Linked DNA regions of Lonchura striata. The protein of the gene in region 1 interacts with the protein of each later gene in a biochemical or structural test. Links are inferred from orthologs where the notes say so. Each region holds a gene or a part of one and is shown on either strand. Other genes may lie near its edges.

What was found. The genes of interacting proteins can lie anywhere in the genome.
Region 2: the proteins of ZBTB16 (region 1) and HBEGF form a complex in vitro, tested with the Homo sapiens proteins (2 studies listed by BioGRID). The link is inferred for Lonchura striata from reciprocal best matches to the Homo sapiens genes ZBTB16 and HBEGF.

What each region holds. Positions count from the first base shown.
Region 1 is NC_134625.1:10,775,473-10,783,007, forward strand, and holds the start of ZBTB16 (zinc finger and BTB domain-containing protein 16), read left to right. Parts: upstream 1-4,533; 5' UTR 4,534-4,613; intron 4,614-4,969; exon of another isoform or gene 4,970-5,082; intron 5,083-5,571; exon of another isoform or gene 5,572-5,575; 5' UTR 5,576-5,645; coding exon 5,646-6,913; intron 6,914-7,535. UniProt on the Homo sapiens protein: Acts as a transcriptional repressor. Transcriptional repression may be mediated through recruitment of histone deacetylases to target promoters. May play a role in myeloid maturation and in the development and/or maintenance of other differentiated tissues.
Region 2 is NC_134617.1:15,518,883-15,526,147, reverse strand, and holds the start of HBEGF (proheparin-binding EGF-like growth factor), read left to right. Parts: upstream 1-4,254; 5' UTR 4,255-4,369; coding exon 4,370-4,412; intron 4,413-4,652; coding exon 4,653-4,829; intron 4,830-6,776; coding exon 6,777-6,954; intron 6,955-7,265. Other genes in the region: SLC4A9 (anion exchange protein 4), read right to left, coding at 1,439-1,707. UniProt on the Homo sapiens protein: Growth factor that mediates its effects via EGFR, ERBB2 and ERBB4. Required for normal cardiac valve formation and normal heart function. Promotes smooth muscle cell proliferation. May be involved in macrophage-mediated cellular proliferation.

The DNA of each region.
Region 1 (7,535 bases):
AGTAAATGAACTTGAGCATCATGAGAGCACAGAAACTGGAAACTGGCTGCTTCCAGTGAGACTGAGAATGCTGCTTGTGATCCTGTGAACTTTTTGGTTCACAACTCTAAAGCCATTCAGGGGCACTTGGAAACCATCCTGTTAAAGGAAGGGAGTTTTAATTATTGCTCTTGTGCTCAGAAAAGCATGCAATGAGTATTTAACTCACCTGGAATTCTTATTGATGTCTAAACGTGGATGTGATCCTCCTGGAGAAGGAACAGCCCTGGGTGGAGGTACATCCCTGTACCCCACCCCTGAGGGGACTAACCAGCACAAATGGTGTCTGGACAGACAAAGAACATCTCCTTCCCCAGTGCTGTATCCTTCCTGAGGAGAGTCAAAACCAAAGTAAGACAGGAAAAGCAGGATGAAACTGGAACACAATCCCTCACTAGAGCATCCCCTGTTTTGGGAGGCAGAACAAGCCCCCAGAAGTGCTTTGCTGAGGTCCTGGTGTAGATTCTGCTCTATTTAAATGACTTTTTTTTGGGATGAACTTTACCGAACACACATGCAGCCTCCACAGCACCATGAATTTGGGGCTGACATTTAATGCCTCGGCACATTTCTTTCCTTGTCCCGTGCAAGGCAATCAAGTATGTCAGGTTAAGAGAAGAGAAAAAGAGGAAAAATAATTACACAGTAAATTAAACAAGGCTAACTCCCTCCCACTTATTATGGCTTCATAAGTTGCTACCTCTGGCTCAAGCTCTCTTGAATACGTACCAAGGGTAACACTAAAAATAGGTCCTGTACTGATGGTTGGGTCACAGCCTGCTAGAGGGAGACATTTTTATTTAATTACAAGCCCAGCAGCGTGTTGCTGGGGGGGAATACATAAACACGCCACTCGAAGCCCGGCTGTAAAGTTTGTGCTCCTTCGCTGAGTCACTGTGGCTAAATTCCCCTTTGTGTGGGGGATTTAGGGGAGGAATGCGGGAAGGCTGGCCCGGGCTGCCGCCCTCCTGAGTCACCGCTCAGCTCATCCTCCAGCCCCGGCAGGCTCAGGGCCCTAAGCCACTAATTAGCCTCATTGTCTTAGGGCTGCAGCATCCATAACCTAGCACAGGGAGGGGGGGGACGGAGGGACAAAGCTCCTGGAAACCCATGAGCTGTATCTCCTGGCAGTTGTGTTCTGTGCGTCACAGCCCACCTCTCAACACTCCCCGAGGGATCCTGATCCACTCCTTCCGTGGGATGGCATGGATTCCGTGATGCCTAAATGCGAGTGCAGCTGTAACCTGGAGCAGTTCTTCTGAGCAGGGAGGGTTCTGGGGCGCGGGGTGCAGCAGCCGGTGACACCATGGTCCTCGTCACTGCTGCCACGTGCTCGAGCGTGGCCGGGCAGCATCCCACATCCAGCAGGGCCGGGAGGCTGGCAGTGTTTCTGCAGTGTGACACGTGTCTGCTCAGCTCTGTCCGAACTACCAGGTTGTGCGGGTCTCCTTTCCCACAGCAGCAAGCAGCCCTGCGCAGCTCCCTCGGGCTGGCTACCGCCGAGCTCCAAAAATAACTTACCTTGGGACCAACTGCAAGGTGGATAACCCGTATCCCACCACCCCGATCAGTTGCGTCCTTGCGTGACTCTCAGGTTGCCCTTGTGCAGCACACATGGGCACAATGAGGGGTCTGTTCCCAGCCCCTCCGCTCCTGGGCTGCCACAACGCGCACGGCTCCGGTGTCTGCGCTCGGACAGAGCCTGGTGCTCATCACTGGGGTTCAGAGGAAGCTTAATGCACCATGGCTGCACGCTGAGCAGCTTTCCTGGGGCTTCCGCCCTCCCCCTTGCAAACAGCTTTGTGTGTTTAGGCTTTTTTTTAAATGAAGTCTAACACATTTAATCATCTTTTCATAAGCTGTCAGCTTGCCGCGCACCAAAGCAGAGCAGCGCGCTCTGTCCCGGCTCCCAGCAAAGCAAAAGTGCCTGGAGAATCCTGCTCCTGGGAGCGTGCACACACACAGCTCAGGAGCTGTGAACTTTTCTCAGGGTCTGGGGTGAGATCAAAAATCAGTTTTTGGAAGTTATTTTGAAACAGATCTTATTTTGTACAGCATCTTTACTCCAGTGTTTCATAATTCAGCTCTGCACCATCAGCGCTGGAAAACTCAGTATACTAGAAAACTCCAAATACATCAAAAGCAAAACACAACTAGTCCTAGGAAAACATGGGAATGTGCCTGTCCCCCACCCTGAAGGTTCTCGGCAGGAGCAGGGAGAACAGGGGGCAGCTCAGTCCAGGGGCAGAGCTGGGGTGGGCACAGCTGAAGTCAGGGCCTAGCAAGCTGGGGAAGTCAGAGCCGTGTCCTTGCGTGCCTGTCTGGGGTGGAATGGGAGATTATGTGTCTAACAGCACTGGAGGAGTGTGTGTGATGGGAAAGGGCGTTTGCACAGAGTGGGAGAAGCTGTTGTTTTGGGCATGATGGAGAGGAGCTGCTCCTCTTCCCTTTCCATTCATACAGGGTGGGTGATGCTGGGGCACCTTCTGGCTGAAGTTGTCTCCCAGAATGTTTTTTGTGGACTAAGCATCCTGAACAAGGAATTTCCTTTCTTACTGTAATTGTGGAGACTGCTCAGTTTTACTCTCCTCTCCACACACTAGCTGCCTCTTGGAGAAGCATCCCAAGGCTGCCCTTGCCACTATCCCTCAAAATACGGGCTGCACATTGCCCAGTCCTTGTCTCCCCACAGACCTGGTGCTGCTGGCCAGGGTATTTCCCCGGGAGAAGCAAACATTCGTGTCTCCCTGTCCAAGTAACTGATAGGTCTGAGGGATCTGAATAGATCCCAGATTTTCCTGGGAAGGATGTCCATGCTTCACCTGGTTCTCACACAGAAGGCCCTTCCTGAGGAACCACCGACTCAGGTTTAATGCTGGAGGTTAATAATAATCACACCAGGCAGCACATCATTGCACCGTATCTGGTTGAGAGATTTACAAGTGAAACTCGTGGCGGAGGAAGAAATTGCCTCAATCACTCGGAGTAATGGCACATGGAGAGGCACTTGGGCGTGACTGCTACTTAACACGGAGCCCAGCTTGGCTTCATTTAGCTGCTGGTGCCTTTCTAATAAACACGTTACACTACAAGGTGGGGATTAAGATCAGAAAAGTAAATAAATTGGAAACTGATGGGGAGAGATGGGAGGGAAATGGAAGGTACTGAGGAGGAGTGACGAGGGATTGACTCCCATGCCAGCACATGGGGAAATGACCCTGAAGGCCATGGCTGTAGCTTTCCAAGCATCTCTGTGGGCCTCACCTGTGGCCTGCAGGTGCTGGGCAGCCCCAGTGCCAGGGCATGTTGGGTGTCCCTGCTCAGGGTCACCAAGCTGGTCTTCAGCAAACAGCAGCTGTGGCAAGTTGGTGTCTTAAACAATTCAGTAGCTTTTACTATATGTATTAGAGAAGCAAGAAAAAGTGCAATGCACCAGTTGACAGGAAGGACTGGGGGTTAATTTTCAGGATGCTGCCTGGGAATTTAGCCGTGGGATTTCCATTATTGCTAATGGGACTCATGCAGCTTAATTTCATGTGAGCTATACTAAAAACATACCCGTAACTGCCTGCAAAATTTCAGTCCTGAAATCAAGCCTTTTAAAAGTTAGAGAAGGGTAAACAAACACCTGAAACCACAGTGTCTCACCATTTCCTCCTCTCAGCTGTTTGGATTTTAAAGTCTGGAAGAGGGAGGAACTCAAGCAGTTTGAGACAATTAAAAACCCCCATCCAGCAGGCACGCTGGCTGCCTGTGCGGCACATCCCTGCTCTCTGCCAATTACAGCAGCAGAGTTATAACCCCCGAAAAAATAGGAGTAAGCTGATGCCTTACCCTTAACTATAGTACGGCGAGCACGGCGTTATCACACGCGTCTAATAACCCGCGCAGCGCCGCCGTGCATCGTGAGGCCTCCGTTATTAGGCTGTTCTCGTTAAATGACTGCTATCATCTGGTCCCAAAGTACATTAAATCCCATTATAATTATAAACACACTTCCCCATAACGTTCTCCTTAGATTACATTTGCGCTGCTTTACCCCAAGGGTATCTTTGTACTAATGCCGTCCGTGTTTGTTGTTTTAGCTGAAGACACCGGCCCTGCGCTGGCTGTGTCGGTCCACGGGCGCAGCAGAGAGGGAGGGAAGAAGGCAGAGCCGTGCGGCTGCCACCCTGCCCCTCCCGAGGATTGCACAGGGTGCGCCGGGCGCGGGCACGCCAAGGAGCTGAGGCACTCCTCGGATGCTCGGGGCACGCAGTGCTCCCTCCGCGCGTGGCCCGCTGCTCCTGCCGCCGCCTGGTGCTGCTGTCGGTGTCACGGTGTGGCTGGCGTCTCACCGCGCGTTTCGCTCCCTTCCCGAAGGGGACAGAGCCCCACGGCCCGTCCTGGGGTGCGGGCACCCGCCACATCCCTACACACAAGTGGCGCCGTCACGGCGTCAGTATTTTACCGGGGGGGCAGGGGGGAAAGGAGGACAAACCGGCTTCGTCGAGGCGACAACGTGCTCGGTGTCACATCATGTCACGAGCACCGCAGCTCCCGGTCGGAATCCGGACCCCAAACCGGGCTCCGAGGTTGGTTTTCACCGTCTCCAGCCCGGGGCCGGGTCCGCCCGGCGCGGGGGCGGCTTTGTCTGGCGGGGGCGCCGCCCGTCGGGGCGCGCAGCCCCGCTCGCGGCGGGCCCGGGGCAGCCGCGCCGCGGCCCGGGGCCGCTCCGCGGGGCCGCTCCCGGTGCCGCCGGGCTTCCGGGTGCCGGGCTCGCCGCCGCCTCCGGCTCCTCCATGTTTGTTGTCGGCAGCGCTGTCCAGCCGCCGCCGCCGCCCGCAAGGTGCGGGGCGCGCGGGGCGGGCCCGGGCGGGGGCGCCCGCACTCAGCGCGGCGGGCGGGGGCGGCCGCCGGTCGGTGGGTGGGTGGGGGCGGCCTGACGCGGGCGCGGGGCGGCCCGGGGGCCGGCGCCGCCGTGATTTGCTGCGCGGCGCGGCGAGCGGCGGCGGCGGCGATGAGAGCGGGCAGTGCGAACTGCCGGAGCAGCCGCCGGCCGCCGTGAGTGCGGGCGGGGGGCGGCACCGGGGCCCCCCGCGTCCCCCGCCCCGGGACCGCCGTGTGCCCGCGGCTCCGCCGCTTCGCCGCGCACCTGATGGGGCCGCGCTGCCGGCGGGACGGGGCGGCCGGAGCTGGAGCCGGGCGGCGGCGGGGGATGCGCACCTTCCTCTCCCTTCCTTCCCTCGCCTTCCCCGGCCGGCGGTAGCGGGAACGCGGCTCCGGCAGCTGCGGATCCGCCGAGCAGCGCGGAAACTTTTGGGCGAGTCGCTGCTAGGCTGCGGGCTAACTTCCCTCTTCTCCCCGCTCCCTTCTCCCCGCTCCCTTCTACTCCCTGCTCCCTTCTCCTCTCCTTTCTCTCCCCGGCTTTCCTCTCTCCCCCATCTTTTTTCTCTTTCTTCCCCTTTTCTCTCTCCTTCGTCTCTTCCCTCCCCGCTCCCCCTTTCCCGCTCCCCTCTGCTCCTCTCCCCCTCCGCCTTTTGTTTTCTGCAGATAGTCGGCACACAAAGCTGGTCCCAGATTTGAGCGACGGCGAGACACCCTGATGTGTGAGCCTGGGGCGCGCCATGGATCTGACTAAGATGGGGCTGATACAGCTGCAGAACCCCTGCCACCCCACCGGGCTGCTGCACAAAGCCAACCAGATGCGCCTGGCGGGGACGCTGTGCGACGTGGTCATCATGGTGGACAGCCAGGAGTTCCACGCGCACCGGACCGTGCTGGCCTGCACCAGCAAGATGTTCGAGATCCTCTTCCACCGCAACAGCCAGCACTACACCCTGGACTTCCTCTCGCCAAAGACGTTCCAGCAGATCCTGGAGTACGCGTACACTGCCACCCTACAAGCCAAGGTTGAGGACCTGGATGACCTGCTCTATGCTGCCGAGATCCTGGAAATTGAGTACCTGGAGGAGCAGTGCCTGAAGATCCTGGAGACTATACAGGCCTCCGAGGACAATGACACCGAGGTCGCTATGGCTGATGGAGGTGCCACCGCCACCACTGAGGAGGAGGAGGAGAAGAAGTCAAGGTACATCAAGGGCCTCTTCATCTCCAAGCCCACTGGTGAGGAGGGTGGCTATGCTGGCATGGCCAGCCAGAATCTGCTGGCAGCCACAGTGGAGCAGAGCCCCTCTGCCTCCGCATCCTACTGCTCCCTCTCTTCCATGAGCCCCACCAAGGCGGCGGTGGACAGCTTGATGACCATCGGGCAGTCACTGCTGCAGGGAGCCCTGCCACCCAATGCCCCCGAGGACTCACGCTCTGCCACCACCCGCCGTCCCTCTGGCCTCGCCGAAGTCAAAACTGAAGCAATGCAGGTGGATGAGGCCTCCAGCCATGACAGCCCCCGGACAGCCGAGCCCGGTGCCTCCAGTGGGGAAAAGGCTGACGAGAAGGGCAAGGAAGGACCTGGCACCCCGACCCGCAGCAGTGTCATCACCAGTGCCCGTGAACTGCACTACACCCGTGAGGAGGGTGCCGAGCCACCCCCTGAGCCTGGCCAGGGGCTGCCACTGGGGCCGGAGCCGTCTGCCGCTGCCCCGGGAGAGAAGCCCTTGGGCATCTACTCCCTTCTGCCGAACCACAAGACTGAGCCGGTGCTCGGCGTGCCGCCCACTGCGGCGTCCGCCCTGCATGTGCAGCCGGCCCTGGCTGTCTCCATGGACTTCAGCGCCTATGGCGGGCTGCTGCCCCAGGGCTTCATCCAGCGGGAGCTGTTCAGCAAGCTGGGGGAGCTGGCAGCCGGCATGAAGACGGAGAGCAGAGCCCTGGGTGAGCAGTGCAGCGTGTGTGGGGCAGAGCTGCCGGACAACGAGACCCTCGAGCAGCACAGGTGAGTGCCGAGGCCGTGCTGTGGCATGCTGCACCGGGCAGCCAGGATCTCGCCAAAGGGTTTCGGTTTCTGGCTGAGTGTCACATGCGTTGGTGCAAAGTTTCCATCAGGTACCCCAAAACCAGCTTGTGGAGTAGCATTCTAAGAGGGATAGCTGTTGGCAGCTTCCCCGAATCTGGTTACCGTGCCAGAAGGTTCCTTCCAGTGAGTGCTGGCTGGGAACAGCCCGGATGAGCTGGGGCCGTCGGTGTTTCCTGCGAGCATAAACACCACCAGTTTCCCTGGCTGGCATCAACCAAGTAGCTCACAGTTGCTACCCTTTGAGTTGGGGGATCTGCGTGTAGAGAGAAGCAGTGGGGACAGGCAGCGCTCGCCCGCTCTGCTGAGATCTGGTCCCCCCTGTGCCAGTGCCGGGGCACGCCAGCGCGGGCAGTGGTGTCAACATGTGTTGACTTGCCAGCCTGGGGGGTTTTGTGCCGCTCAGCTTCCCGGTTTATGAAACATTTACACTTCGCAGAAAGTGGCGCGGGGGTCAGGCTGGGTAACGCCGGGGCGAGCGCAGAGGGCTCGGGCTGCCGCAGAGCCGCGGGTCTGTCCCTGCGGGAAAGGTGAAGGGCTGAAC
Region 2 (7,265 bases), on another chromosome or scaffold:
AGAGCCTGGGTCCATCTTTGAGCTTAGCATGGGGCTGGCACTGGCAGGGAGGGGTTTGGGTGGCTCAGAGGGGCCTGCACTTGGTTCATGGTGTAGGGGCAGCTGGGCAGACAAAATGGTCATGTCCCCATTCCTGCAGACCCACACCTCTCTAAGGTCTGATCAGGGGAATTCCAACCAAAATGAGGGGAAAGAATGGTTCAGGTTTGAAGGGACCTTAAAACTCACCTTATTCCAAGCCTTCCACCATGGGTGGGGTGCCTTCCACTATCCCAGTTTGCTTCAAGCCCCTTCCAGCCTGGCCTTGGACACTCACAGGGATGGGGCAGCCACAGTTTCTCTGGTCAATCTGTGCCTTGCCACCCTCACAAGGAAGAATTTCTTCCCAATATCCCATCTGACACTGATCTCTGGCAGTGGGAAGCCATTCCTGCTTGTCCTGTCACTCCAGTCCCTTGTCTCAAGTACCTCTCCAGCTCTCTTGCAGCCCCTTTAGGCACTGGAAGAGGCTCTTAGGCCCTGAGCCTTGTCTTCTCCAGGCTAAACAACACCCCACCTCCCTCATCCTGTCTCCATAGCAGAGCTGTCCCAACAGAGCTGTTCCAGCCTTTGAATCATTTCCATGGTTTCCTTTGGATGTGCTTCAACAGGAGCTGGATGTGGTGCCCCAGGGCAGTCCCACACAAAGCAGAACAGAGGGAGAAGTCCCTCCTCACCGTGTGGCCCGTGATACAGCCCAGGACACACTCGCCTTTCTGGTCTGCCAGAGCACAGCGCTGGCTGATGTCCCCTCTGTCACCCAGCAGCACCCCCAGTCATTTTCTGCAGGGCTGCTCCCAGCCCATCCATTTCCCCAGCTGCGCTGGGGCTGGGGGTGGCCCTGCCATTAGCAACGCTTGCTTGGAGTCAGAACAGAAGTGTCTTGAGCTGTTTTCACGCTCGGGCCATGCCAAATATTTTAATGCCGGGCACAGACAGAGCTTCCCTTTGTCGCGGTGGGTGGGCGCTGGTCGTGCTGCACGGGCAGAGCGTGCCCGGCGCTGCGGGCTCCTGCGAGGGGCAGCCGTGCGGGCACAAGGGGCTGGTGGTGGGGAGGGATCCCACAGACACTCCGACCCCGGGTGAACACCCACTGCTGTCCCCAGACTGCTGTGGCCCACGTCCCCTGCCCCTGCCGGATGGGTGCCAGGGGGCTCGGGGATAACCCAGCCCCAGCGCAGCCGCTGGAGCCTCGGAGAGGCACCAGAGAGGAGCAGGAGGAAGGGCGCTGTGCCTGCCTGACATCTTGCCCTCTCCCATGAAATGAAGTCAGCCCAGCTGGGCACTGGTGGGGCAGAGCCCTGTCTTGGGGCTGAGGCTGGGGAACAGCCAGCCTCGGGAAATGCCCTGGCTTCCCAAAGCGTGGCCCAGCCAGCCTGGCTCTCGCAGGTATCCCTACCTGGCCATCTCCCTCCACTCCAGCCCCGCCGGGGTGCTGAGGAGCTGGTTGAGCTGGATGAAGAGCAGCGGGCAGGTGACATCCCCCCTCTCCTCCCACTGCAGGGTGGCACCAGCTCTCCGAGCCGCTGTGGCCATGCTGGAGGGGAAGATGCTGCAGCCGAAAGTTTGGGAGGGAGCTCCAGGATTGCTGCTCTCTAGTCGGGGCTGTGAGCAGCTGTCTGCTGCCCGGAGAGCTGTGTCACCTGTCCCAGGCATGTGGACTCGCATGGCCACCGGCACCGGCAGCTACAGGCGTGGGCTCCCCTCCAGCACTCACAGGATCCCACTCATCCCACACCTTATAAGAGCTGTGAACAGGTTTAAACTGGCCACAAACCAATACACCAGAGCCAAGCCCAAAACAAGCATCCCAAAACAGCAGGGTCAGCCCCACAGGTCCCAGTATGGTTGTGTCCTGCCATGTCCAGCTGCCCACCTGGGCCAGGGACCAGGGAACCCACCTGCCTCCTGCAAGTGACCTGGGTGGACAGGGAACTTCGTGTGTTCCCAGCCCTGTCTGCAGCCTGCAAGGTGCTGGTGAGGGGGTGGCAGGGCCAACCCTGGAGAGCTGGTGGCAGTATCTGTGCCTGTGCAAGGATGCTGTGCCCATGGCAGGAGGAGTGACACAGCCCGTGGCAGCTCCTTCTGGGAAAAGAGAATATGGGGACATGCTCTGGGGAAGGACGTGGCACTGCTGGGCAAATCCACAGTGGGGAAATAAGGGGCTGCCAGTGGCAGGGCTGACGGAAAGGACTGGGAGGGCTCCGGGGCAGTGATGGTGTTCAGAAGGCTTCTGCAGGCAGTGAGTGGATGGAGGGGGAAGGATGTGGGCACAACAGCAGCACTCTGCAGGGACAGGGACAGGGACAGGGACATGACAGGGCTTGAACAGCACTGCCAGCAGAGAGCAGCCACGGTGCTCGCTGTGCCCATGCCATGCCCACCACCACCACCACCACGCTTGGCCCCTCGGCTCCCCGCAGACAAACCGCGGGGCTGTGTGCACTGCAAACACGGCGGGGACACCGCAAACACCCGCGGCTCCGGCACGGGCCGGCTGTGCTGGAGCCCGCTGGACCCGACAGGATCCAGCCCCAGGAGCAGCTGGAGCAGGGCCAGGCACCACCACGGCAGAGTCACGTTTTGGGGAAGGACGGCTGGGAGTGTGGGTTCCTGAGGTTCTGGTACCTGCCTCGCAGGAACTGAGGCCAAGGATCTGGCCCAGGGTGTCCAGGCTGTTTGCTCTGTGATACCAGCAGGTACCATGGTATGTGGACGTGTGCCCTTACCGTGGGGAGATCCTTGGCAGAAGGACCCATCAATAGGGAGCATCAGGGATGCCCTGAGGCACCCAAATCTTCCTGGGGTTCATTTCCCCCACCTGTGGGGGCTGCCTCAGCAGCATGAGGTGGGGCATGACTGGCAGCAGACACGGGCAGGGAGGCTGTGAGGGGCTGCAGGAAGTGGAAAGGGGTCATGGGAGGCTGTGGGAGGCAGAGGGGAAGAGGCAGCAGGAGGCAGAGGCAGGAAGCAGAGGCAGGCAGGATCAGCAGCCTGCACACATCCCCCCCACCCTGCCAGTCCTCTGTGCCAGCTGCCTCCCTGGCAGCTGACGTGAGCTGGTACCTCCCTCTCCAGAGGTGTCAGGGCAGCTGGCAAGTGCTGCCCACTTACACTGCCCGCACATACCCAGCCCAGCCTTGGGGACATGGTGGGGGACTGGCAGGGGCAAAAAAATTCCATCCCAACAGGGGGACCTCCCCAGGAGCCAGTGTGCAGATCTGCCCAGGGACACAGCCCCTCACCCGTGCCACCAAAGGCTTTGGGCTCCTGATGGCCCGAGGAGGCGGAAGGAAAAACATCCAGCAAACAATTGCAAAAGTCAAGTCTGAGCAAGAAGGAGGGTGTGAGCGGGGGGGTGCCAGATCCGGTGGTATTCCTTGGAGACAGCAACAACAATAGCAGGAATATTTGCTCATGCCTAGCTGACCCCAAACCAGCCATGGGCTCAGGACCTCGAGGAACCAACCAGGGGCCTCTGTTGGACCCTGCACTCACCCGGCATTGATGTCAGTGACATTTTCTACATTGTCACCTGTGCTGAGGATGCGGCCAAACACAGCACACGGTTGCCAGCATGGTGAAGAGCATGGGGAAGCTCTGGCAGTGCCCAAACACAGCAGGCTGGGACAGGGACAAGGACAGTGCCTGGCTGGGGGGGCGCTGGGAGGTAAGGCTGTGACTCAATCACTTGGGCAGCACAGGGGCACAAATGGGGTCTTGGGAACAGAAAGGGTCTCTGCTGCCATCTCATATTGCCACCACCTCCCTGGTGAGACCTGCCGCTGGTGCAGTGGCACATGGGTGTCAGTCTCTCCCCTTTCTGAGGGTCATCCCATCCCCAGGGCCAGGAAGAGGTGCAGTCCTGACTCCTGAGGTCCTGTCTCACGTGATGCTCGTCTTGTGAGGTGCACTCGCTCTCCCAGCACCCTCGGGCCACCTCGGCCACCTGCCTGGGGCCACGGGGACCACCGGGATCCCCCTCCTCTCCCCCTGGCTGGGGCCACACTTCCCCCTGGCCATCTCCTGCCCTCCGTGCTCTGCAGAAACCCTTTGCTCTCCGGGCTCTCTCCACTCAACCCGGCCCGCCTCCGGAGCGAGGAGAACACACCGGGCCCGGGCCAAGGTCCCGGTCCCAGCCGGCGGGACGCCCCCGGGGACGGTGGGGAAGCCCTTCCCGGGGGCGGGGCGGTCGGTCAGCCCCTCCCTGCCCCGCCCCTCCGCCCCTCCGCAGCTTTCTATACGGCGCGGGGCCGCCGTGCCGGAGAGCGGGCATCGCTGCGGGACCGAGCGGAGCGCGGCACTGGCTGGACGCGTGTGCCCGCGGGTCATGGACGGGCGGGCGGTGCTGATCCAAGCGCTGCTGGCGGCAGGTACGCGCTCGCGTGGGGACGGTCCCGGGTGCGGGCAGCGCATCCCAGCGCCGTGCTCGACTGGAGAGTCCCGAACATGTGCGGGGATGGTCTTGAGCAAGGCGGGCATGGCCGGTCCTGGGCGCCGGCAAAGCCGTCCTGGTCCCGGGTGTGGGCAGAAGGGAAGATCGGTCCCTGTCCCGCGTGGGGGGTCCCGGGCAGGGCAGTGTCAGCCCCCACTCCTGACCGCTCTCTCCGCAGTGTGCTCGGCGGCGGCGGGCGGGCTGCGCCGGGACGAGCTGCACAACGAGGTGCTGCACAAGGGCGGCGGCGGCGGCGGGGTGCCGGTCCCGGCCACGGCGCCGCTGCTCGGCGGCAGCCCGGAGAAGGACGGAGGCGGAGCGGCCTCGGGGGACGACTTCAGCGAGCTGCCGAGAGGTACGGACGCGATAAGGGGTCCCAGGGCGGGACGGGCTGGGCTGGGGGCAGTCGGAGCCGGAGAGGTCGCGAAGGTGCCGGGCTGAGCTCGGCTCAGTCCCGCAGATGTTCCGGCAGCAGCTCCGGCTCCGCTTCGGAGGGACTTGCAGTGGTGGGTGGGAGCGGTCCCAGATACCGAGCCCCGGCGGCAGCAGACCCGAGTGGGAGTAGCCTGTGGGGCAGCAGCACGGAGCAGTGCCGCTGCTGCCAGGGGCTATCCGTGTTCCTTGCAGTCGCCTGCAGGGCGGGTTCCAGGGGGCCCCGGGTCTGAGCTGCTTGGCCAGGAGGAGACGGAGCCCCTCGCGGCGGGGTTGCCGTGTCCGGGGACCCGCGCTGCCCTCCCGGTGGTGGCGCGGGGACCGTCGTGAGTCACCGCCGCCCACGCGCGGCTGCTCCTCATTCCGCGGCAGGGCTCGTCAGCCGGCGGCCTCGCCACGGGGGCGGTGGGGGCACCGCCGCTCTCTGGGGCTCCCGAGCACCCACGCCGGGCTCCTTGCCCCGGGCTGGCACCAGAGAGTGTTCTGGGGTCTCTCATGGGAGTTGGACGGGGGGTTGAGGGGGTGACATGTACCTGTGCCTCGCAGACGCGGCGTGCCGAGGGCAGTACCTGGCACCAGGAGCGTGCTCTGCTCCGTACAGCTCACCCTCCCATTTTTCCGTGTTTTTCTTTGCTTTCTGGCTGTGCCAGCAGACTGTAACAAAAAGCCGGCAAAACCGGGCTGAGCCACTCGCGCCGGGGGGACTTAGCCCTCGGAAAACGCAGCAGTGTGTGTCGGCTGGTTGTGGTTGGGAGATAACCCTCAGGGCAGGAGAGGCAGGGAACGGAGCAGCCTCTGCTGTCAGCCTCATCCGGGGCTTCTCCAAGCCGCAAGGTTTCCTGGAGTATCGGTTTTCTCCAGGCGCAGCGTGGAGGATGTCGACATAGCTTTGCTAGGTGTGCAACTGGTGTGTGCCAGCACGAGAGGCGCTGGTTCCGTCAAGCAGTGATTGAGTTGTAACCTGGGCAGGTTACAACTTGCCAGCTTGGACTCTGCTGTACTCTCCTCCTCGAGCAGCCCCAGGCTTAATTCACCGGGGTTAATGAGCACCATAGCTCGGGGGGCCCTAAAAAATCCTCCTTGGAGCAGTGAGTGCTCTCCAGCACCTCGTGAGATCAAGCTGCGGGGTGTTGGTTTTATTTTTTCTCTTTTTTTTTTTTTTTTTTTTTTTTCTTTTTTCTTTTTTTTTTTTTTTTTGGCATCTGCATGCTTTAATAATCATTCCAGTACCGTTGCTAGTGTTGAGCTACGTTTGGGTGAGGAGCTTGGTGCTCTAGTTCCACCAACCCAGCAGGGGGCTGATCTGGCACCAAAAGCCGCTGGTTACTGGACCACAATTAAAATATACCGTTGTAATTGATGGGAGTGATGCCCTCACCATCTCTTGGGCTCTGCAAAACCAAAACTTAAGGCAGGCTTGCTCTTTTAATCCTGCCCTGGGGTGAGTAAGGCATCCTTGTGCCCACGGGAAGGAGAGTGCATCAGAGCCATGAATAGGGTCTTAGAAAAGCCTGTGCTTGTCAGGGAAATAAAGGCCAGATAAAGGGGCAATTAGCAGTGTTCTGTATTCAGTGGAAACTGGTGCATATAATAGCAGCATTTGAGATGTATAAAGCTCTGTTCCCCCTGCCCAACTCCCTTCTTTCCTTGAGAATTGTTCTTATGAATTGGAAAGGCCATGATATTTGTGAGGAGCTGAAAAAAATGCCCTCCCCCCAACCCCGGGCTCGGGGGCAGCTCCCAGCACAAAGGGCTGTGGGAGCCATGGCTGAGCAGTTGTGGCAGCCCTGGGATGTGCCTTTGCCTTCCCTTTTGTTGGCACGTGGAGCTGATCTGACTGCTGTTCTCTCCTTCCCAAATTGTTTTTCAGTTGCCTTCCTGTCAAAGCCTCAAGGCCTCGTTACTCCCAAGAAAAAAGGGAACGGCAATAAAAGAAGAAAAGGCAAAGGCCTGGGGAAGAAGAGAGACCCGTGCCTGCGGAAGTACAAGGATTTCTGTATTCACGGCGAGTGCAAGTACATCCGAGAGCTGGGAGCTCCCTCTTGCATGTGAGTTGCTGGCATGTGCTTGTGTTGGGGAAGCTTTAGTCATGGTTCTTTCAACTTTCCAGGCTGGGCAGAGGAAAAGCAGAGATATTTTTAGTGCATGTTCCCCACCCATGCAGGGACAACTCTGACTTAGCCTCTTCCTTGTAATTCTTGAAAAGTGTCCACCCCTTCCCCAAATCCTGTCATGGCCTTAGAGCCAGGGTTCCCTGCCAGCATGGTGAACTCTGGCTGTGCTGGGAACTGCAGAATTGTGTGTAGGGCTGGGGTCTGGCAGCTGAGGGCTTCTGCAGGTCTGATTTGGGAAAGCTCAT